Stegostoma tigrinum: one gene and its partners. The protein of the gene in region 2 interacts with the protein of the main gene of each other region in a biochemical or structural test. Links are inferred from orthologs where the notes say so. Each region holds a gene or a part of one and is shown on either strand. Other genes may lie near its edges. The genes, in order: polb, xrcc1 and aptx.

The links.
Region 1: the proteins of xrcc1 (region 2) and polb form a complex in vitro, tested with the Homo sapiens proteins (5 studies listed by BioGRID, with this or other methods). The link is inferred for Stegostoma tigrinum from reciprocal best matches to the Homo sapiens genes XRCC1 and POLB.
Region 3: the proteins of xrcc1 (region 2) and aptx form a complex in vitro, tested with the Homo sapiens proteins (2 studies listed by BioGRID). The link is inferred for Stegostoma tigrinum from reciprocal best matches to the Homo sapiens genes XRCC1 and APTX.

What each region holds. Positions count from the first base shown.
Region 1 is NC_081393.1:16,183,066-16,191,620, reverse strand, and holds the start of polb (DNA polymerase beta), read right to left. Parts: upstream 3,405-8,555; 5' UTR 3,233-3,404; coding exon 3,172-3,232; intron 1-3,171.
Region 2 is NC_081394.1:5,015,655-5,023,680, forward strand, and holds the start of xrcc1 (DNA repair protein XRCC1), read right to left. Parts: upstream 3,424-8,026; 5' UTR 3,145-3,423; coding exon 3,094-3,144; intron 1-3,093. UniProt on the Homo sapiens protein: Scaffold protein involved in DNA single-strand break repair by mediating the assembly of DNA break repair protein complexes. Negatively regulates ADP-ribosyltransferase activity of PARP1 during base-excision repair in order to prevent excessive PARP1 activity.
Region 3 is NC_081356.1:29,976,819-29,985,104, forward strand, and holds the start of aptx (aprataxin), read right to left. Parts: upstream 3,315-8,286; 5' UTR 3,224-3,314; intron 2,965-3,223; exon of another isoform or gene 2,785-2,964; intron 2,623-2,784; exon of another isoform or gene 2,370-2,622; intron 1,235-2,369; 5' UTR 1,231-1,234; coding exon 1,101-1,230; intron 1-1,100. UniProt on the Homo sapiens protein: DNA-binding protein involved in single-strand DNA break repair, double-strand DNA break repair and base excision repair.

The DNA of each region.
Region 1 (8,555 bases), on a different chromosome or scaffold from region 2:
CAACATTCCATTTGCTTCCCTATTACCCACTGAACTTCACAGAATCAATATGGAAACAGGCCATTTGGTCTGTCAAGTCCGCACCAATGCTCCAAAGAGCATTACTCCCCTCCCACCAACCCATTCCTGCAGCCCTGCATTTCCCATGGTTATTCTACCTAGCCTGCACATCCCTGAACACTATTGGCAATTTACTTTGGTCAGTCTACATAGCCTGCACATCTTTGGGCTGTGGGAGAAAACAAAAGCACCCAGAGGACAATCAACGCAGACATGGGGAGAATGTGCATATTCCACACAGTCCTCCCCAGGGTGGAAGTGAACCAGAGTCCCTCAAACTGTGAGGCAGCAGCACTAGCCGCCCAGCCACTGGGCCATCTAAATGCTAGCATTTTGGATCTATGCGTGAGGACACCCAAATCCTTCTGTGCTGCATCTTTCTCCACTTATTCAAATAATATTCAGCATTTCTACAAAAAATAAAAACCAAAGAACGAGGTTCCGCATGGCAGACTAACTGGTTAAGTTAGATGACATGGGATTCAGGGTGAGCTTGCCAACTGAATACAAAATTGGCTTAATGGCAGGAGACAGACATAGGTGGTGGAGGGCTGTTTTTTTTCAGATTGGAGACCTGTGACCTGTGGTGTTCCACAGGGTTCAGTGCTGGGTCCACTTTTGTTTGTCATTGATATGCGAATACAGAGAGCATTGTTAATAAGTTTGAGGATGACACCAAAGCTGGTGATATATCAGATAGTGAAGGTGGTTATCTAGGATTACAAAGGGATCTCGATCAATTGGATCAATGAGCTGAAGTGTAACAAATAGAGTTTAATTTGGATAAATGCAAGTTGTTGCATTTTGGTAGGTAAAACAAACAAAGGCAAGACTTATACTATTAAAAATAGATCTTGGGTAGTGTGGGAGAAAAGAGAGAACCAGGAATCAGGTACATAATTCTTTGAAACTGGCATCATGTAAAATTAGGGTGGTTAAGGTGTTCAGCATGCTTGCCTTCATTGCTCAGACCTTTATATTTTGGAGTTGGGACGTTATGTGGCATTGGTAAGGCATCTTCTGGAGTACCATGTCCAGTTCTGGTCTCCTGATACAGGAATGATATTATTAAACTGGAGAGGGTTCAGAAGAGAGTTACCAGGATGTTGCAAGGAACAGAAGGTTTAAGTTATAAAGGAGATGCTGGATAGGTTGGAACTTTTTCGACTGGAGCGTAGGAGGTTAAGGGGTAACCTTATAGAGGTTTATAAAATCATGAGGAGTATAGATAAGGTAAATGACAGGTGTCTTTTCCCTTGGGTGGAGGATTTCAAGACTGGGGACATATTTTTAAACGGAGTGGAGAAAGATTCAAAGAAGACTTGAGAGGCATTTTGTTTTTTTAACAGAGAGTGGTTCATGTGAGGAATGAATTTCCAGAGGAAGTGGGGGATACGGGTACAGTTACAACATTTAAAATACATTTTAAAGTACATGAAGAAGAAATGTTTGGAGGGATATGTGCAAAGTGCAGGCAGGGGGGACCAGTTTAATTTGGGATTGTGGTCGGCATGGGCTGTATGGACCAAAGAGTCTGTTTCTGTGCTGTATGACTCTATAACGCAGATGCTAAAAATCAGAAACAAAAACAGTATTTGCTGGAAAAGCTCAGCAGGTCTGACACCATCTGTGGTATAATAACATTATTTCATGAAAAATAAAATCCACAAGAACTGCAGGTGCTTTAAATCAGGAACAAGAGCAAAAATTGCTAGAAAAGCTCAGCAGATTGCTCTTTTGGTCCTCTTGCCAAACTAGGGAGAATGGAAGATCTGAATATTATTTAAATGGGGAAAACCAGAGAAAGTTGCACAATAGATGAATTTGGAATTCTTTTTCATGAATCACAAAATGCTGATGTCCAAGTTCAGTGGGTAAAAGGGAACACAATGGATTATTGGCTTTTATTTCAAGGGGAATGGAGTATTAAAAACAGAAAGGTCTCGTTAAAACTATTCAAGGCTTTAGTCAGCCCACATCTAAAATATTTTGAACAGTTTTCATCCCCTTATCTAAGGAAAGATGTACTGGTGTTGGAAGCAGTCAAGTGAAGGTTCCCTGGGTTGACTCTGGGTATGAAGGGATTTTCTTATAAGGAATGCCCTGCCTGCAATAGTAGTAGACTCACCAACTATAAGGGCATTTAAATGGTCAGTGGATAAACATATGGAAGATAATGGAATAGTGTAGGTTAGATGGGCTTCAGATTGGTTTCACAGGTCAGCACAACATTGAGGGCCGAAGGGCCTGTACTGTGCTGTAATGTTCTATGTTCTATTAGGACTGTACATAACTAAACGTTTCCTCACTTACACTCCATCTGCCGAGATCTTGCCCACTCATGTAATCTCTCCACGTCCCACTTGAGACTGTATTATCCTCACCACTCGCTTTCCCATTTATTTTTGCATCATCTGAAAACTTGGTTACTGTACACTCATTTTCTGCATCCAAGTTGGTATCATATATTGTAAACAATTGTGGCCCTTGCAATACTCCAGGAGTTGCTATCCTGAAATTACCCCCCTCATCCTAACTCTATTTCAGTTAGTCAGCCAATCCTCTATTCACACTCAAAACAAAGGGTCTAGACTCTTCCCAAGAAGGGTCCAGACCTGAAACGTCAGCTTTCCTGCTCCTCTGATGCTGCTTGGCCTCATGTGTTCATTCCAGCTCTACACCTTGTTATCTCAAAACAACAGACTCCTCGAAATGTAGTCTAATGAGGTACTTTATTAAACGCCTTTTGGAAATGGTGCGCATCTGGTTTATGAGTGGGTTCAGGCTGTAGCTCTAAAAATTCAACATAGTATTAGTATCAGGGTAGGTATCGATTTCGGGAATGGATTTCGGGTTAGAATTATGATTAGCTGCTTTAGCTGGGGTTTAGTTTTACGTTCTGCTTTGGGTTCAGGGTTAAAAATTTGAATATTGCAAAGATTTAAAAATGGAGAAACAGTAAGGCCCGCTTTCAACACCGGCTGGGGAAGGTCTGCACTGTCCTGACATTCCTTCTCGATTAATGACAACCCGATTTCCCTAGTTCTCCCTGAGGATCGGAACGACACATCGATCCCAGGCCACCGCTGCCTCTTCCTCCCTTCCTCTTACCGATTAGGAAATCGGTGATCCCCTCGTTGAGCGTCTCTTGCGGCGCTTTCCTCTTGCTCATGGTGGCGAAGGACGATAAAGTAACCAGGCAACCTAACGCTAGCCGTCACTTCGCGTGACCGTCGGCTCTGACAAGGCTCTCCCCCTCCAAAACCCGGGGATGTCCTGTCAGGAAAAGGCCAGGCTTCAGCCGCGCTGCTAGGCCGCGTGCGCGCGACCAACGGCCAGCTGGGATTTAAACCCGAACGGCCGCGCGCGTGACCCAACCGTCACCCAGATTACAGGTACCATCAAAACTTATTTGTGGCAATGTACAATCACGTGTTGTTTTAACATAGGCATCCCGGAACAATTATTGTTTGATTTACTTTATTTTGCGCTCCGTTTACACATTGAAATTATAGGATTCTTTTCACGAATGGCCGTGGAGACAATGAAAGTTCCTCACCCCACTGTTCAAACCATGTTGTTTTCCCCAGGACATTCGTCATCACCAACCCCGACCCTTTCAAACGACTTGCATATTGTGTGTGTGTCCGTCCAGAAGTGCTCTTACACACAACTGAACGATTTCCCCGCCCCATCACCAAATCACCCGTGTCAGACTCGTATTTACATAGCATCTTTTATTATCCCATAGCCAATGCCTCCATGTGAGAATGTAGTCGAATCAGAGTGAAAGGGGTTCCTGGCGTGGGCGTTCTTGTCATTTAACAGGCCACTTCAGGGGTTAATTCCGTTCCCCCCCGTCTTCTCTGCTGGCTCTCTGCCTCATTAACTCGCGAGACAGAAAGCTGGATGGCCGATTCAGCACGAGTAAACTCCTCCGAGTCGCTAATATCAATGTTTCTGGGCTTCCAACAGTGCCTCAGATTAATTTACTCACAAGATGTGGCCAGCACTGGCTGGACCAGCTCTTATTCCCCATCAGCAATTGCTCGAGGAGGTAGTGCTGAGTTTGCTGTGAAGAGCATCATTTGACCTCTCCAGTAACGGCAGTTGAGAAAACAGAACCTGAAGAGGTTTGGGGAGGGGAGGAAGTAATACTTAAGAGTTAATGTCCTGCTGATCCTGAAGCTCCATTTTGAAGTATACTAGATGATTCAGACCAGTATAGGTCAGTCAGAAGCTTTACTAATTTTGCTTCTGCTGATGGGAGAAACACTTTAAAGCCCTCTGTCCACAGTGTCCACACGAAAATTTTGATTTTTGAGATCGAGTTCTCATAACAATGTAATGCTGGCTAGATCATCTATTCTCACAATATCGGCTGAAGGATAAATTAGCCAAAACTGCAGGGAAAACTCCCCTGTACTGCAAAGCAATCTTTTATATCTACCCAACATATTTAACATTTCATACAACAACTGTGCAGCAACATGGAATACCAGTCTTAATTTTTGTACTGAAGTAGGTCCTGAATTATGATCCTAACTGATGGTAACATTGTGAAGTCTGATTTGAATCTATCCAATGAAACCTAAATTGATAAACCATAAATTTTATTTCTGTATGTTTTGGGCTCTCTGATGAAGTGTCTAGGCGCGAAATGTCAGCTTTTGTGCTCCTAAGATGCTGCTTGGCTTGCTGTGTTCATCCAGCTCCACACTTTGTTATCTTGGATTCTCCAGCATCTACAATTCCCATTATCAATGATAGTAGGAACTGCAGATGCTGGAGAATCTGAGATAACAAGGTGTAGAGCTGGATGAACACAGCAGGCCAAGCAGCATCAGAGGAGCAGGAAAGCTGACGTTTCAGTCCTAGACCCTCTGGCTTGCTGCAATGTTCCAGTGAAGCTCAGCACAAGCTGGAGGAACAACACCTCATTTTCCGCTTGGGGACACTACATCCCTCTGGACTCAATATTGAGTTTAATAACTTTACGGCCTAAACACCCCCATGTCCCAGCCCCCCCACCCCACTCACCAGGCCTTGTTACCACATAGCCCGTCACTATACACCCTCTGTTGTTAGTCACTAACAGTCCCCATTAACAACTGTTCACCCTCCGAGCCTGATTGTTAGCAATTCTTTTGTCTGTCCAACTGTCTTCCTCTCTCTTTGGGCTCTGTCTTATTGTTTACTCCCTACCCCACATACCTCCCTATTTTCTGCATATAAACTGACATTTTCGCAGCCACCATCGGTTCTGAGGAAGGGTCACCAGACCCAAAACATTAACTCTGTTTTCTCCTCCACAGATGCTGCCAGACCTGCTGAGCTTTTCCAGCAACTTTGTTTTTGTTGCCTCTGATGCTGCTTGGCCTGCTGTGTTCATCTAGCTCTATGCCTTGTTATTAAAGAATATCAATGTTTATTACACACAACAGGGGAAAAATACATACAAGAACTGTGAAACATTTTTTTAAACAATTCAGCCCTTTATCCTCAACAGTAAAACAATATCTTACAGACATTCAAAGTCCAGTGAAAATTCAGTGAAGATTTTCAAGTTTCTTGTTGCATTTAAGTGGTTGGACTTGGCTTCTTTGCAACAAACTTCTGAATTCATTCAATGCTACTTCTTCAACTATTACCTCTTCCCAAGAGTTTTAAACAAACTGCTAACGCTCTTCACTTATTTCCTAACATAGATTTTTTAAAACTCCTATTCCACAGACTTCTGTTTCTGGAGCTTTCTCTTCCTGACAATATAACCACTCGAGATCTTTCTCCGAACACCACTTTGCACACTGCTAGGTTAACAAGGACTTTACAGACATAGACCTGTCTTCTCTTGCAGAAACCTGTACACCTCCTGCCTGGCTCGCTCTTTCTAAAAGAGCTGGTTCCTGTCTATGTCTCTGTCTTTGTCTCCCTGTGTCATAGGGCAGCTTCTTGCTAGACAACAGCACTTTTTCCCCCACACCCTTGTTTTATTAAAGCACTGAACTCTTCATAGAGTCATACAGCATGGAAACAGACCCTTTGGTCCAACGTCATCCATGCCACCCAAATTACCCAAATTAGTCCTACTTTAAATGCATGTTCGTATGTTTCCATATATCCTGTTCACTGAACTCAAAAATGAAACTTAAGTCCTTCCTAACATACATAATGAAGAAACTGAAGGCCCTTCCCAATTTAGATTGCAAGTCTCCAAAGGAAATCATGAACTTTCATCACAATTGAACTAGTTTCCTCCTGTAACAGACTGTTTTCCACTGACTGAGCTGCATCGGAATCAAGTCCCTTTTTGCAAAAAAAATTATAAATATGTGGACCATTATGTTGATTACAGCAGCTGTTTGGCCTGTTCCCATGTATGTTACAAGAGAACTACAACTTGACAAAGTAGCGCAACTGTTGATCGGAGGAATTCCATTTCTAACAAGCAATCCTATTTTACATTCAATATAGTCTAACATTATTGACGCTGTTTTTTTGGAATGTGAATGGGAAATAACATTTTGAATATGAAAACCATGACTGTATAATTAGAGATATAAAACCAACCTGCTGAATTATTTTGCTTTTGACTTGAATAGTTAGAAACTTACATCCTCATTAACATGTTGCACGTAAATCTAAGCAGTGTTATATCCTTAAGTGTGCAGCGTTATGGACCAGACCAAAACTCAACATTCAGAACATAGTCTAAACTCTAACTTTTTTTTTATTTTAAGGTTAACGTTAAGTGTTGCATTTCAGATACAATTCGCTTGGTTAAACTACCAGATTTAAAGCAAAACACATTTTATGAGAGTCATAGAGCTTTACAGCATGGAAGCAGACCCTTCTGTCCAACTCGTCCATGCCAACCAGATATCCTAAATTAATCCAGTCTCATTTGACAGCATTTGGTTCATATCCTTTTATACCCTTCTTATTCATATACCATCCAGTTGCCTTTTAAATGTTGTAATTCTAACAAACTCCAAATGTCCAGAGATATGAGATACTAGATAGCAAAGGCAGCAGCTGTGCAGGTTACTGCTGTGTCAAACTGCAGTGTAAGTTTCTTTCTCCATTTGAATCACTGTTTTTGTCTCTCTTCCTCCTTTTTAAAGTGACATTGTTTTGATTTTATTTTCCTCCCAAAGTTCCAAAACAATCGAACAGCTTAAAGAATAGCAATTATTGCTCCTAGAATTTGAGGAAATCAGTACCAACACTGAAAATACATCAAGGGAGCAGCTCCTACAGCCGTAATGTTTTTCCCATCCTCCATCTTGAATTACCTAGAGTTCCAACTTTTTAAAACAAAACCTCAAGGCCATACATGCACTTTAGTCTAGTAGTTCTGCTAGACTGCTCGATATCCCGCCTTAAAACCTCTCTTCAAAAAAAACCTGCACAAAATAACCACTGTTAAAGCCTGCTATCATCACAATAACCAGGTACCAGTTATCATGATGATTAAGCGCAGTGAGGGACAGAAGAAATGTACAGCCACTGGCCCCAACACTCTTTTACATGATGACATGAAACTGGTCTTGTCCAGGCAATGAAAGATTCAAGAGAGAGCGAACCTAACAATTTCACCTTGAAATGCAATTGCATTACCGTGAATACCACGCAGGCACAATTACCAAATAACAGCTACAGACCAAAAACACAAATGGACCTATGACATAAAAGCAATGGCTACAAGAGCAGGTCAGATGCTGGGATTTTATGGCGAGTAACTCACCTCTTGACGTCCCAAAGCCTTCAAGAATCGACAAAGCTCAAGTCAGGAATGTGATAGAATACTCTCTCCTTGCCTGGATGGTGCTGCCAACTATAATGAAGAGCATTTACACCAATCAGTCCATTTGACTGGCAGCCCATCCACCATCATTCACTCCCTCCACCGTTGAAACACAGTGGCAACAGTGTGTACCACTGACAAGATGCAATGCAACAACTCAAGGTGGCTTCAGCAGCACCTTCCGAACTTGCAAACTACCACAAATATGGACAATGGTAGCAGATGATGGAAACACCACAACCTGCAAGTTCCCCTCCAAACCACTCACCATCTTGATTTAGAACCATATATGAAGCTATTCCTTCACTGTCACCAAGTCAAAATCTAGGATCCCTCTTGCAAACACAATTCTAGCTGTATTCACACCACATGGACTTTTGCAGTTCACCATCACTTTTGCAAGGGATTAGGGATTCACACAGAAGCTGATTTGACAGCTGATTTCACTTTCCACGAAATCATGTTTTTAAACACATCTTCAGGACAACCTAGAAGCATTACACAGCCATCGAGTACTTTCAAATTACATTTAAAAATTAAACAAAAAGAAAACATAAACTCAGGATCTCCATAGCTTTGTGACCTGAAAATGAATGAGTTTTAATTCAACAAAAATGAGGATATAAGGGTGAGAAAATCTCAGGACAGCATATTTTTGGGCAAGGAAAAACAATGTGGGAAAATAACA
Region 2 (8,026 bases):
CTGAGTCTCCGACAGTGCCCACTCCCTCAGCACTGACTCTCCGACAGTGCCCACTCCCTCAGCCCTGACCCTCAACAGTGCCCACTCCCTCAGCACTGACCCTCAACAGTGCCCACTCCCTCAGCACTGACCCTCTGACAGTGCCCACTCCCTCAGCACTGACCCTCCGACAGTGCCCACTCCCTCAGCACTGACCCTCAACAGTGCCCACTCCCTCAGCACTGACCCTCAACAGTGCCCACTCCCTCAGCCCTGACCCTCAACAGTGCCCACTCCCTCAGCACTGACTCTCCGACAGTGCCCACTCCCTCAGCCCTGACCCTCAACAGTGCCCGCTCCCTCAGCACTGACCCTCCGACAGTGCCCACTCCCTCAGCACTGACCCTCCGACAGTGCCCACTCCCTCAGCACTGACCCTCCGACAGTGCCCACTCCCTCAGCACTGACCCTCCGACAGTGCCCACTCCCTCAGCACTGACCCTCCGACAGTGCCCACTCCCTCAGCGCTGACCCTCCGACAGTGCCCGCTCCCTCAGCACTGACCCTCCAACAGTGCCCACTCCCTCAGCACTGACCCTCAACAGTGCCCACTCCCTCAGCACTGACCCTCCGACAGTGCCCACTCCCTCAGCACTGACCCTCCGACAGTGCCCACTCCCTCAGCACTGACCCTCCGACAGTGCCCACTCCCTCAGCACTGACCCTCCTACAGTGCCCGCTCCCTCAGCACTGACCCTCCGACAGTGCGGCGCCTCCCTCAGCACTGACCCTCCGACAGTGCCCACTCCCTCAGCACTGACCCTCCGACAGTGCCCATTCCCTCAGCACTGACCCTCCGACAGTGCGGCGCCTCCCTCAGCACTGACCCTCCGACAGTGCCCACTCCCTCAGCACTGACCCTCTGACAGCGCGTCGCTCCCTCAGCACTGACCCTCCGACAGTGCCCACTCCCTCAGCACTGACCCTCCAACAGTGCCCACTCCCTCAGCCCTGACCCTCAACAGTGCCCACTCCCTCAGCACTGACCCTCCGACAGTGCCCACTCCCTCAGCCCTGACCCTCAACAGTGCCCACTCCCTCAGCACTGACCCTCCGACAGTGCCCACTCCCTCAGCACTGACCCTCCGACAGTGCCCACTCCCTCAGCACTGACCCTCCGACAGTGCCCACTCCCTCAGCACTGACCCTCCGACAGTGCCCACTCCCTCAGCACTGACCCTCCGACAGTGCCCACTCCCTCAGCACTGACCCTCCGACAGTGCCCACTCCCTCAGCACTGACCCTCCGACAGTGCCCACTCCCTCAGCGCTGACCCTCCGACAGTGCCCACTCCCTCAGCGCTGACCCTCCGACAGTGCCCGCTCCCTCAGCACTGACCCTCCGACAGTGCCCACTCCCTCAGCACTGACCCTCCGACAGTGCCCGCTCCCTCAGCACTGACCCTCCGACAGTGCGGCGCCTCCCTCAGCACTGACCCTCCGACAGTGCCCACTCCCTCAGCACTGACCCTCCGACAGTGCCCATTCCCTCAGCACTGACCCTCCGACAGTGCCCGCTCCCTCAGCACTGACCCTCCGACAGTGCCCACTCCCTCAGCACTGACCCTCCGACAGTGCCCACTCCCTCAGCACTGACCCTCCGACAGTGCCCACTCCCTCAGCACTGACCCTCCGACAGTGCCCACTCCCTCAGCACTGACCCTCTGACAGCGCCCACTCCCTCAGCCCTGACCCTCAACAGTGCCCACTCCCTCAGCACTGACCCTCCGACAGTGCCCACTCCCTCAGCACTGACCCTCCAACAGTGCCCACTCCCTCAGCCCTGACCCTCAACAGTGCCCACTCCCTCAGCACTGACCCTCCGACAGTGCCCACTCCCTCAGCACTGACCCTCCGACAGTGCCCACTCCCTCAGCCCTGACCCTCCGACAGTGCCCACTCCCTCAGCACTGACCCTCCGACAGTGCCCACTCCCTCAGCACTGACCCTCCGACAGTGCCCACTCCCTCAGCACTGACCCTCCGACAGTGCCCACTCCCTCAGCACTGACCCTCCGACAGTGCCCACTCCCTCAGCACTGACCCTCCGACAGTGCCCACTCCCTCAGCGCTGACCCTCTGACAGTGCCCACTCCCTCAGCACTGACCCTCCTACAGTGCGGCGCCTCCCTCAGCACTGACCCTCCGACAGTGCCCGCTCCCTCAGCACTGACCCTCCGACAGTGCCCGCTCCCTCAGCACTGACCCTCCGACAGTGCCCGCTCCCTCAGCACTGACCCTCCGACAGTGCCCGCTCCCTCAGCACTGACCCTCCGACAGTGCCCGCTCCCTCAGCACTGACCCTCCGACAGTGCCCGCTCCCTCAGCACTGACCCTCCGACAGTGCCCGCTCCCTCAGCACTGACCCTCCGACAGTGCCCACTCCCTCAGCACTGACCCTCCGACAGTGCCCGCTCCCTCAGCACTGACCCTCCGACAGTGCCCGCTCCCTCAGCACTGACCCTCCGACAGTGCCCGCTCCCTCAGCACTGACCCTCCGACAGTGCCCACTCCCTCAGCACTGACCCTCCGACAGTGCCCTCTCCCTCAGCACTGACCCTCCGACAGTGCCCACTCCCTCAGCACTGACCCTCCGACAGTGCCCACTCCCTCAGCACTGACCCTCAACAGTGCCCGCTCCCTCAGCACTGACCCTCCGACAGTGCCCGCTCCCTCACATCCCAGAATGGCTGGACACCCATTCAGCCCAACGCACGAATACTAGCCCTCGTAGGAAATGCCCTGTTTCAACCCACGGGCAGCTCCCTGTCGGAAGGTCGTGCCCGCTTCACCATTTCGGAGGTGGAGTTGCACAAAGGAAAGCCAGGTCCTGAACACGGGGGTCTCTCAGAGGGGCGGTCCGAGGGATAGCCCTACCAGCGCCAACACCACCCAAAGGGGCCGAGCGACAGGCATCGTCCTGGAGGTGCCAACAGAACAGGCAATGACACAAGAGCGTCAAGTGCCATCCCAAAGGTCAACAACTTGCCTGACGAACATTGGCCAAGAGGGTGAAGTGAGCGGTCTGCTGGGTAAGGGATGGAGGTTATGCTCACCGTGTCTTCACTGCTACACGACACGACATATTGGAGCTTGATCTCGGGCATCCTGCAAACTGGTGTGAGGGGGAGAATACAAATGGCTAAAAAAAAAAATGCGACTGTGTGGACTTTGTTCGATGTGACAGTCAAAACAAAAAAAAATCTCAGGATCGCGCTGAAAACCCCTCGGGAGTGACAGGGGGCAATATTTAACAGGGGGTTTTCCTCATGGATCGGCGCAGCAGCGATGAAAACGTCTCTTAAGCGAGGTTTAAACACTTAAGGGTTTCGTCCATTTTTTTTCCTGCCTCTTCCCGCCGCGGGCTCACCCTCTGCATTCCATTTCCGGGTCACACTCCCCGCTCCTCGACGGAAAACTTATTTCGGATTTGAATAGCGTTCAAATAAAAAAATCTGAAGCAGCATTCCTGCCGCTGTCATCGCAGAGCGAGTCTCAGGTCACAATGAGGGACATTTTTTACTTTCGGCTCTTTCCTTCTTGGGGACGGGCGGCGCCAGGATAGCAAAGGTCAAGGGTTAGACTAAAGCGCCAGTACGTGAGACAGGCAAGGCCGCCGCCATCTTTGTGACTGGCAGGCCCCCCCCAAACCAAAACGAATGAGGAGAGAGATTGGGTTGGGAGGAAGAGAGATGGAAAGAATGAGAGAGAGAGATGGGGTGAATGGGAGAGAGATGGGGAGAATGGGAGAGAAATCAGGAGAATGGGAGAGGGATGGGGAGAATGGGAGAGAGATGGGGAAAATGGGAGAGAGATGGGGAGAATGGGAGAGAGATGGGGAGAATGGGAGAGAGTTGGGGAGAATGGAAGAGAGATGGGGAGAATGGGAGAGAGATAGGAAGAATGGGAGAGAGTTGGGGAGAATGGAAGAGAGATGGGGAGAATGGGAGAGAGATAGGAAGAATGAGAGAGAGATGGGGAGAATGGGAGAGAGATGGGGAGAATAGGAGAGAAATCAGGAGAATGGGAGAGGGATGGGGAGAATGGGAGAGAGATGGGGAGAATGGGAGAGAGATGTGGAAAATGGGAGAGAGATGGGGAAAATGGGAGAGAGATGGGGAGAATGGGAGAGAGTTGGGGAGAATGGAAGAGAGTTGGGGAGAATGGAACAGAGATGGGGAGAATGGGAGAGAGATAGGAAGAATGAGAGAGAGAGAGAGATGGGGAGAATGGGAGAGAGATAGGAAGAATGAGAGAGAGATGGGGAGAATGGGAGAGAGTTGTGGAGAATGGGAGAGAGATGGGAAGAATGGGAGAGAGATGGGGAGAATGGGAGAGAGATGGGGAGAATGGGAGAGAGTTGGGGAGAATGGGAGAGAGATGGGGAGAATGGGAGAGAGTTGGGGAGAATGGGAGAGAGATGGGGAGAATGGGAGAGAGATGGGGAGAATAGGAGAGAAATCAGGAGAATGGGAGAGGGATGGGGAGAATGGGAGAGAGATGGGGAAAATGGGAGAGAGATGGGAGAATGGGAGAGAGTTGGGGAGAATGGAAGAGAGTTGGGGAGAATGGAAGAGAGATGGGGAGAATGGGAGAGAGATAGGAAGAATGAGAGAGAGAGAGATGGGGAGAATGGGAGAGAGATAGGAAGAATGAGAGAGAGATGGGGAGAATGGGAGAGAGATGGGGAGAATGGGAGAGAGTTGGGGAGAATGGGAGAGAGATGGGGAGAATGGGAGAGAGTTGGGGAGAATGGGAGAGAGATGGGGAGAATAGGAGAGAAATCAGGAGAATGGGAGAGGGATGGGGAGAATGGGAGAGAGATGGGGAAAATGGGAGAGAGATGGGGAGAATGGGAGAGAGTTGGGGAGAATGGAAGAGAGTTGGGGAGAATGGAAGAGAGATGGGGAGAATGGGAGAGAGATATGAAGAATGAGAGAGAGAGAGAGATGGGGAGAATGGGAGAGAGATAGGAAGAATGAGAGAGAGATGGGGAGAATGGGAGAGAGTTGGGGAGAATGGGAGAGAGATGGGAAGAATGGGAGAGAGTTGGGGAGAATGGGAGAGAGATGGGGAGAATGGGAGAGAGTTGGGGAGAATAGGAGAGAGATGGGGAGAATGGGAGAGTGTTGGGGAGAATGGGAGAGAGATGGGGAGAATGGGAGAGAGATGGGGAGAATAGGAGAGAAATCAGGAGAATGGGAGTGGGATGGGGAGAATGGGAGAGAGATGGGGAAAATGGGAGAGAGATGCGGAGAATGGGAGAGAGATGGGGAGAATGGGAGAGAGTTGGGGAGAATAAGAGAGAGATGGGGAGAATGGAAGAGAGATGGGGAGAATGGGAGAGAGATATGAAGAATGAGAGAGAGAGAGAGATGGGGAGAATGGGAGAGAGATAGGAAGAATGAGAGAGAGATGGGGAGAATGGGAGAGAGTTGGGGAGAATGGGAGAGAGATGGGAAGAATGGGAGAGAGTTGGGGAGAATGGGAGAGAGATGGGGAGAATGGGAGAGAGTTGGGGAGAATAGGAGAGAGATGGGGAGAATGGGAGAGTGTTGGGGAGAATGGGAGAGAGATGGGGAGAATGGGAGAGAGATGGGGAGAATAGGAGAGAAATCAGGAGAATGGGAGAGGGATGGGGAGAATGGGAGAGAGATGGGGAAAATGGGAGAGAGATGGGGAAAATGGGAGAGAGATGCGGAGAATGGGAGAGAGATGGGAAGAATGGGAGAGAGATGGGGAGAATAGGAGAGAAATCAGGAGAATGGGAGAGGGATGGGGAGAATGGGAGAGAGATGGGGAAAATGGGAGAGAGATGGGGAGAATGGGAGAGAGTTGGGGAGAATGGAAGAGAGTTGGGGAGAATGGAAGAGAGATGGGGAGAATGGGAGAGAGATATGAAGAATGAGAGAGAGAGAGAGATGGGGAGAATGGGAGAGAGATAGGAAGAATGAGAGAGAGATGGGGAGAATGGGAGAGAGTTGGGGAGAATGGGAGAGAGATGGGAAGAATGGGAGAGAGTTGGGGAGAATGGGAGAGAGATGGGGAGAATGGGAGAGAGTTGGGGAGAATAGGAGAGAGATGGGGAGAATGGGAGAGTGTTGGGGAGAATGGGAGAGAGATGGGGAGAATGGGAGAGAGATGGGGAGAATAGGAGAGAAATCAGGAGAATGGGAGAGGGATGGGGAGAATGGGAGAGAGATGGGGAAAATGGGAGAGAGATGCGGAGAATGGGAGAGAGATGGGGAGAATGGGAGAGAGTTGGGGAGAATAAGAGAGAGATGGGGAGAATGTAAGAGAGATGGGGAGAATGGGAGAGAGATATGAAGAATGAGAGAGAGAGAGAGATGGGGAGAATGGGAGAGAGATAGGAAGAATGAGAGAGAGATGGGGAGAATGGGAGAGAGTTGGGGAGAATGGGAGAGAGATGGGAAGAATGGGAGAGAGTTGGGGAGAATGGGAGAGAGATGGGGAGAATGGGAGAGAGTTGGGGAGAATAGGAGAGAGATGGGGAGAATGGGAGAGTGTTGGGGAGAATGGGAGAGAGATGGGGAGAATGGGAGAGAGATGGGGAGAATAGGAGAGAAATCAGGAGAATGGGAGAGGGATGGGGAGAATGGGAGAGAGATGGGGAAAATGGGAGAGAGATGGGGAAAATGGGAGAGAGATGCGGAGAATGGGAGAGAGATGGGGAGAATGGGAGAGAGTTGGGGAGAATAAGAGAGAGATGGGGAGAATGGGAGAGAGTTGGGGAGAATGGGAGAGAGATGGGGAGAATGGGAGAGAGATGGGGAGAATAGGAGAGAAATCAGGAGAATGGGAGAGGGATGGGGAGAATGGGAGAGAGATGGGGAAAATGGGAGAGAGATGGGGAGAATGGGAGAGAGATGGGGAGAATGGAAGAAAGATGGGGAGACCGGGAGAGAGATGGGGAGAATGGAAGATAGGTGGGGAGAATGGGAGAGAGATAGGAAGAATGAGAGAGAGAGAGATGGGGAGAATGGGAGAGAGATAGGAAGAATGAGAGAGAGATGGGGAGAATGGGAGCGAGATGGGGAGAATGGGAGAGAGTTGGGGAGAATGGGAGAGAGTTGGGGAGAATGAGAGAGAGATGGGAAGAATGGGAGAGAGATGGGAAGAATGGGAGCGAGATGGGGAGAATGGGAGAGGGATGGGAAGAATGGGAGCGAGATGGGGAGAATGGGAGAGGGATGGGGAGAATGGGAGAGGGAGCCTGAGAAAGACCCAGATGATTGGAAAATTGCTGTTGTTACCCCCTTGTTTAAGAAAGGAGCAAGACAAAAGATGGAAAATTATAGGCCAATTAGGCTAACCTCGGAGGTTGGTAAAATTCTAGAATCCATTGTCAAGGATGAGATTTCTAAATTCCTGGAATTGCAGGGTTGGATTAAAACAAGTCAGCACGGATTTAGTCAGGGGAGGTCGTGCCTGACAAACCTGTTGGAATTCTTTGAAGAGGTAACAAGTATGTTAGAATAGTGAAACCCAGTAGATGTTATCTATCTAGACTTCCAAAAGGCCTTTGATACAGTGCCTCACGGGAGGCTGCTGATCAAGGTGAGGGCCCATGGTGTTCGAGGTGAGCTACTGGCTTGGATTGAGGATTGGCTGTCTGACAGAAAGCAGAGAGTTGGGATAAAAGGCTCTTTTTCAGAATGGCAACCAGTGACGAGTGGTGTCCCTCAGGGTTCAGTGTTGGGGCCACAACTGTTCACCTTATATATTAATGATCTGGATGGAGGGACTGGGGGCATTCTGGTGAAGTTTGCCGATGATATGAAGATAGGTGGACAGGCAGGTTGTACTGAGGAGGTGGGGAAGCTGCAGAAAGGTTTAGACAGTTTAGGAGAGTGGTCCAGGAAATGGCTGATGAAATTCAATGTGAGCAAATGTGAGGTTTTGCACTTTGGAAAAAAGAATACAGGCATGGACTATTTTCTAAACGGTGAGAAAATTTGTAAAGCAGAA
Region 3 (8,286 bases), on a different chromosome or scaffold from region 2:
TGACGTACAACCGGCCCCCACAACAAACTTGTAGCATGGATTAGAAAGTTTATCCAATGAGATATCAGTGAAACCGCCAAAGTAAACTTCCAGGTTCAATCCACAGTCTTTGTTCAGCCAGAACAGTAGCAGATGGACTATGACTGGTCTCACTATAGGTTACGAATAAGTCATCTTTTCAAGATCATGAAAAACAGGAGCGGGGTATGCAGCCTTTTGAAAATTCTCCACTAGCCAAAAGGTCACATCACAGCTGATCTGACTGTGGCCTGAGCTCCACTTTCTTGCCTGACTCTTATCCCGCTCATTCCTTGACTGCTTTTTCAATCAAAAATCTATTATTCAGCCTGAAATATATTCAATGAAAAGCCTCCACGGCTCACTGGAGGAAGGAAATTCCATCGTAAATTGAACCTTTACTTTGTAGCTCTCGATTCCCTCATGAAAGAAAGTATCCTTTCAGCGTCTAGCTCATCAAGTCGCCAAAACATCTAATATGAATGTGGATTTCACCAGCTTCAAAATCTCCCTCCCCCCACTGCATCCCAGAACCAGCCCAGCTCGTCCCAGCCTCCCTAACCTGTTCTTCCTCTCACCTATCCCCTCCTCCCACCTCAAGCCACACCTCCATTTCCTACTTACTAACCTCATCCCACCCCCTTGACCTATCCCCTCCCTACCTCCCCACCCATACTCTTCTCTCCACCCATCTTCAGTCCACCTCCCTACTTATTTCAGAATCTTCTCCCCATCCCACTTTTCTGATGAAGGGTCTAGGCCCGAAACATCAGCTTTTGTGCTCCTAAGATGCTGCTTAGCCTGCTAAGTTCATCCAGCCCCACACTTAGTTATCTAATATGGAACGTTCTGCTTAATGTTTCTTGAACAAATTTGATTAAACTACTGACCCTACTCCAGTCCACAGATCCCTTGTATTCAACCCAGTTTCCCAAGGACATTATCTCCATGCCAATAGAGCCATTTTCTCCTCCAGTTTGGTCATTTCAGCTTGCAAATATCTCTAACCTACTGATTTCTAAGCAATATCCAATTTGTTTTGAAGCCGTTGGAAATTTCATACAAAAAAAGTTACCACTCACCTTGATGCCGTGAACATTTTTTATCTGTTATTTTGGTTTCAGGACTCCTTCCAATCATAACACAGACTAAGTGTGCCAGTTGTATTGGTTGGTGCCTCCCATCTTTACTAACCAACCAACAAACTCGCATTATTCTGCAAGACAGAAAATTAGTTACACTCAGAGATATCCCTTATCTTCTAACTGTCCAAGGTCTCTGTATGCCAAATCGTCTCTTGTTCATTATAACCTCCCAATGCTGTATACAATGCATTCAGCTCCAAAGGCCAAAGTTGTGAAATTCCTTCCATGAACCTCTTTATTTCTCTCCTTCTTTAAGGCATTCCCTAAAGTATGTGTCTGACAGAGCTGTTGGCCATTTGTCCTATTACATCCTTACAAGGATCTGTGTTGTCTTGTTTCACAATTGCTCATAAATCACCACAATGTTAAAAACTATAAAGATGTAAGTCTCCATTGTAATGTGTTCAATTATTAAAAACCTAAATCAATTTAGCACTTAAGGATTCATTTATTCTGTACAAATCCACAGCTCCAAAATCAAAGAAATACAAACTAACAGTTTTCTTTAATAAAAAATTGGCTACAATTTAACCAACCAGGACACTGACGTTCAAACCTAATCTAAATGAAGTGCTAAGCAAGCTAAAGCAATAGCACTGGGTAGGAAACAAATGTACTGTAATTTTATAATCATTCAAATTGAAAGCAAGAAGAACTTGCATCTTCTTGCACCTTTCATAATCCAAAAGCAGCTTAAACCTATTGCTTTAGATATGTTGCCACAGCTCTAATATAGGACACCGGACATCTGATTTGTTCATATCATGGTCTCATTCACTCCAGTGTCACAGTGAACAGATTATCTTATTGAGGGGGAGAATGAGGTCTCAAATTAAATATCATTGGAAAGAAATCCCTGATAACGTGACACTTCCTCAGGACTGCGTTAGAGTGTTGTCTCAAGGCTTCTCGTGAGAAGACTCAAACAATCGCCTCCGGAGACAAAAGTGAACGTCTTTCAGCTTACGGGTAACAGCCATTACTTTTGCAAAGCTATTAAAAATGTTTAAAGTGATGCGGCTTAAATTACAACGTGTAGAAGAGCTAACTAGAATGATGACGCAAGGCAGACCAGTCATTCCTGTGCTGGCTGTCTGAAAACACTAGTCCTACTCTCCTACGTGTTTCCTTTTCATGAGTGTACCCAATTTCCTTGAGGGCTATTAATGGACCTCTACCCACGCTCATTGTTGAAGCTAGTCCTACCTGACTGCAGCAGGTCTGACAGTCCCTGGAATCAGTGGGCCCAAAGGCTCCGCTCAGGAAAGCTGTTTAAAAAAAAAACAAAACCGCAGCCAGCTAACTCCCACACCAGGGCCTGGGTAACACTTTAAAGAGCAAACGTGTCACTTAGGTTTCCCACATCGCTCTACGATTTAACTATTTATTTTCAAAAAGCAATTGAAAGTGTTCCCCGACGTGCACTGCGACACCCCAGCTTTAGATCACGCATGTGCAACTTGCGCCGCGCATGCGCGCACCGTAGAGGAAAAGCCGCGTGGACGCCATCTTTGTAAGGCGGGAGCTCTTGTCACTGACCGTCTCGCGAGTGTAAAGGCGACCGGCTTAATGACATAGATAGCTGTATCGGAAGTGAAGTGTCGAAAATTCTTTGTCAAACCTTCTCGGTTCCTTCCCTCATTCCCTGACACAGGTTGAGTGTTCGTTGAAAAAACCAGACGATGTAGCCGTCGTGAGCCGGGGACTGATGGCGAGGAAGAGGATCTGATGAAGGGTCTAGGCCCATAACGTCAGCCTTCCTGCTCCTCCGATGCTGCTTGTCTGCTGTGTTCATCCAGCTCCACACCTTGTTGTATCAGAGAATCTCATTTGTTGTTCTGGTCGCAGTCCCTTTGGTATCATAAACTGCGCTGGCTCTTTGAAAGAGCTTTTCAGTTTATCCCAGATCCTCTGCTTATTTCCGGCAGAAACCTTGCAAATTCCTCCTTCTCAAATACTTACCTGATTCCCTTTTGAAATTCACTACATTTAATCTGCTTCCTCCTGTCTTTCAGGTAGCCCATCTAGGTCATAACTCACTGTTTTTAAGAAAATGTTACCTTATTACTCTTAGATGACACGGTCTGAAGCTGGATGAACATTTTCTGAAGAAGGGTCTCGACCTGAAACGTCAAACTTTCCAGCTCCTCTGGTGCTGCTTGACCTGCTGTGTGCATCCAGCTTCATAGCTGTTATGTTACCTCAGATTCTCCAGCATCAGCAGTTCCTACTATCTCTACCTTAGTACTCTTGTTTTTTCCCCCTCTCCACAAACTGATATGATATTGCCAACATTTTCTCTTTTTAATTACAATTATTTGTTGTTTGGACGATTTAAGAGAGAATTTTGACAAAGACAAACAGGAGGCTGGAAGAACACAGCCTGCCAGACAGCACCTGGAAGAAAGGAGCAGCCAACATTTTGGGTACTGATTGGATTCTAGCATATGCAGATACTTTTTGTCTCTCAACTGAGTAAGACCAAATAATTGGTTGTCATACAGTGGTTAGCACTGCTGCCTGTCAGTACGAGGGACCCAGGTTTGATTCCACCCTCGGACAACCTTCTATGTGAAGTTTGCACATTCTCCCTGTGTCTGTGTGGGTTTCCTCTGGGTGCTCCTGTTTCCTCCCAAAGTCCAAAGATGTGCAGGGTAGGTGGATTGGCAATGCAAAATTGCCAATAGTGTTCAAAGATGTGAAGATTAGGTGGATGGTGGGTCTGGGTTGTATGCTCTGAGGGTCGTTGTGGACTTGTTGGGCTGAAGGGCCTGTTTCCAAGCTGTAGGGATTCTATGAATTTATCTAATATTGATTGCTGTTTGAGTGTTGGCTATGTCTCAAAGTGAAAATGGAAGCTTTAGTAATTAGCTGAAGCATCCGATTAAGCAGTTGGTTCTTGGGTTTGATGTTGCACCGGAGGAGTTAAACTTTGAGATTTTTGCATGACTACTCCACTGGAATTTTTCACAGAATTGCAGTTTGGTGCGGCCTCAATTAGAAGGAATGTTACAGCACAGAAAGAACCCATTTGAATTGTGGTGTCTCTGAAGGAGCCAATCTCCTGCCAGTGGTATAAGTTTTTATATATTTTTCATTCTTCTGTGAGCTGTAGGTTTGTGTGGTGTTTAGTAAGCCAGGAGTTCATTTTTATGTTTGCTTCAATGATAGATTACTGTTTGCATTGATTAGGCTAAGTGTATTGTGATTAGAGATAGAAATGTAAGAGTAGGGAAGTCTTACTGCGACTGTACAAGGTCCTGGTGAGAAAACATCTGGAATACTTTGAGCAGTTTTAGAGATATAGAATCGGGCCCTTCGACCCATGATGTTGTGCCGAACATGACGCCAAATGAAACTAATCCCTCCTGCCTTCCATTGGTCCTTATCCTTCCATTCCTTGCGTATTCATGTGCTTATCTAAAAGTCCTTTAAATGCTCTGATTGTATCTGCCTCCACCACCACCCTTGGCAGTGTGTTCCTGACTCCTACCACTCTCTGCAAAAAAAACACTTGCCTCTCACATTTCATTTGAACTTGCCCACCCCCGCCTTCACCTTTAATGCATGCTCCATTGTATTTGTTATTTCAACTCAGGAAAAGAGATTCTGACCATCAACCTTTTCTGTGCATCTTTATAATTTATAGACTTCTATCAAGTATCCCCTCAGCCTGCGCCACTCAAGAGAAGACAATCCAGGTTTTCCTAGCCTTTCCTTAAGGGTTATGAGGAAAGTGGATTTAGGGAATGTGTCGCATCAGCCATGATGCTGTTGAATGGCAGTGTAGGCTTGAGGAAACTGAATGGCCTACTCCTGTTTGTTCTGGTAACATTTTGTATGAACATAACATTTATTTTGACAAAGAGTAATAAATTAGAGCAAATCAGTGTTATTGACTAGATATTTAGAGTTTTCTCTTTGGGCAGTACCTTCCAAAATAATAGTCACTGACAAGACAATGAAAGCTTATGCATGGGAACACCATCATCTGCTAGTTTTCCTCCAAACCACGCACCATCCTGACTTGTAACTATTTTGCCATCCTTCACTGTTGCTGTGTCAAAATCCCAAATAACAGTGTAACTGTCTTCGCCACATGGACTGCAGTGGTTCAAGATGGTAATTCACCATAACCTTCTCAAGAGCAGTTAGGGACGTGTAATAAATGCCAGCTTAGGCAGTGACGGCTGCATCCCACTACAAGTTTGAGTTTGTCTGTGGAATGTATGCTTTACAATAACTGATTTGAAAATGACAATTCAAAATGACTCATTTGTTTACATATTTTTGATGTAGTGCTAAACTGATTATGTTTGTGCTGCCAAAAGTGTTACCAAAGAATAATTTAAACTCCAAGTTATCTGTATGCCCTAGACTTTGTTAATTGTAGTTCGAAATGTAGCTGTGTATTGTGGCCAATATCTGTTGCTGTAACTGTGAATGATGTATCCATGGTTGACTATTGTAAATGAATTAAAGATTGATTGTATTATGAATTGTACAAGTCAATGCCTTTACTAAATATGGTCGGGGAAATCTTGGATACCAGAACTGAAAAGGGATAAAAGTAGCTCTCTTTTGAGACTATAAAAGAAAATGATGTAACAAGCTATTCACACCAACTCATGTGCTAGCATTTACATTTCCCGCTATACTTTTCTTATTTTTCTTTAGCGTATGTTCTTTTTTTCCCTTATACACATATCAAGCTTTCCCCTTAACTGCATCCATGTTTTTTTCTGCCTCACCTACTCAAAATCACAGAATTGTTGTAACAAAGGAGTCCGTTCAACTGATTGTGTCTAAAGCGGAGCTGCAGCACTTTGAAGTGAGTTTCACATTCCCATCACTCTGGAAGTCACAGGAAATCTACAGTACAGAAAAAGCCCCTTCTGTATCCATGCCAGTCAAAAACAAACACCTAACTCTGTGTAAAGAAGTTTCTTCTGAAGTCTCTATTGGAGTTTTCTGTTATATTTGTGTTGGGCAGCTATGGACACCTCTCCCTTCCTCCCATACCCCACATGCCTTGAAAGCTCTATATGTACCTTATCAGAGTCATACAGTGTGGAAACAGGCTGTCCGGCCCACCATGTCTATATTGATCAACAAATACCTAACTAAACTTGCACTTGGTCCCATATCCTAGTATGCCCTGGTATTTTAAATGCTTCTTGAATATTCAGGCAATTGATAGGAATTGAGGAACCTAAAGACCAAGTATCAACATTGGCTATTTTAAGTTCAGATATTGCATTGGTGGAATGTTGAGTAATGTGCCTTCTAACTTGATCAAATATATCAGATCTGTTCTCATTCCTGAAGCACTTTAAAAGACAACCTGTTGTAGGTTTATCTCAGTTACAACATGGCTGTCATTAGTAATGTCAGTATTTATTGCCCATTCTAATAAACCTTGAGTAGTTGTTGCTCAACTGTCTTCATGGCTGCCTAAATCCATTTTAGAGGGAACTTAAGAGCCAACCACATTGATATAGGTCTGGCGTCAATATAGGATGAGTTGGCAAAAATGGCCACCTTCCTTTCTGAAAGGACATTAATGAATCAAGTGTATTTTGATAACATCAGTAGTTACATGATCACTACCTTTATTCTTAATTTATTAAGTAGCAGAATTTAGTCCACGATTTGCTGTGTTGAGTTTTGAACTCTCAATTTTCGATTTCTTGAAGAAACTGTCTTTTCTTGGTTCTTGTTATCTGTTGACAGAGTTTAAATACCAGGCTGGAAAACACAACAGCACTTAATCGGATGCTGCACTGATGATGTTGCCCAGCAGGGTACTGAAAAGTCTGTGGAACAACAAACCAGCTCAGCAAACCAACCAACCATAACATCCATCACCCGAGCTACAGATCTACTCAAAAACATTAGAATTCTCAATTTCTATCATTTAGGAAGACAGGGACAGCAGGCTTATCAAACATCAGCACTTACAATTTTCACTAACTTAACCTTGAAATGTATTGTTGTTCCTTGATATTACTGGCTCAGATCCTTAAAAGTCACTTCAGATGGTCTGCAGTACATCCAGAAGGCAGGTCACTGCTACCTTCACAAGTAATTACAGATAGGCATCAACGCTGGCCTTGCCGGGGAAGTCCACATCCTATGATTTAATAAAAGTGCAATTTTTCTTTGCTATATCAGTCCTTTTTGATGCGGTAATGTCATTTTATTTATAATAGACAACATTGTCATATTCACTCATGTTTTTTTTATAAAACAAGTGTGTCTACAGAGCATTCCAAGCTTTAATTTTAATTCCAAGTTTTGTTTCATGCAATTCTATTAGTTTTAAAACAGTGACGGAAAAGGATAGACCAGACCTAAAAGTTAACGCTCTAAATGGGAGGAAGACCAATTTTTATGGTATTAGGCAATAACATTCAAAAGTTGGTTGGAAGTAGATGTTCACAACTAAAGGAATAGCTAGAAAATGGAAGCATTCAAAAATGGCATAATGAGAGTCCAGAGACAGTTTGTTCCTGTTAGGGTGAAAGACAAGGCTGGTCGTGTAGGGAATGCTGGATGACGAGAGAAGTTGAGGTTTTGGTCAAGAAAAAGAAGGAAGTGTATGTCAGGTACAGACAGCAGAGATAGAGTGAATCCTTAGAAGAGTCAAAAGGCAGCTGTAGGCGTATACTTAAGAGGGAAATCAGGAGGGCAAAAAGGGGGCGTGAGATAGCTTTGGCAAATAGGTTTAAGGAGAATTCAAAGGGATTCTACAAATACATTAACGATAAAAGGATAACTAAGGAGAGAATAGGGCCTCTTAAAGATCAGCAAGGCCACCCATGTGCAGAACCACAGGAAATAGGAGATACTAAACAAGTATTTTTGTTCACTGTTGAAAAAGATATAGAAGATACAAAACAGGGGAAATAAATACCAACATTTTGTAAAGTGTCCATGTTACAGATGAGGTGGTGCTGGACATCTTAGAATGCATAAAAGTGGATAAATTCCTGGGACCTGATCAGGTGTACCCTAGAACTCTATGGGAAGGTAGACAAGTGATTGCTGGGCCCCTCGCTGAGATATTTGTATCATCGATAGTCACAGGCGAGGTGCCAGAAGACTCAAGGTTGGCTAACAT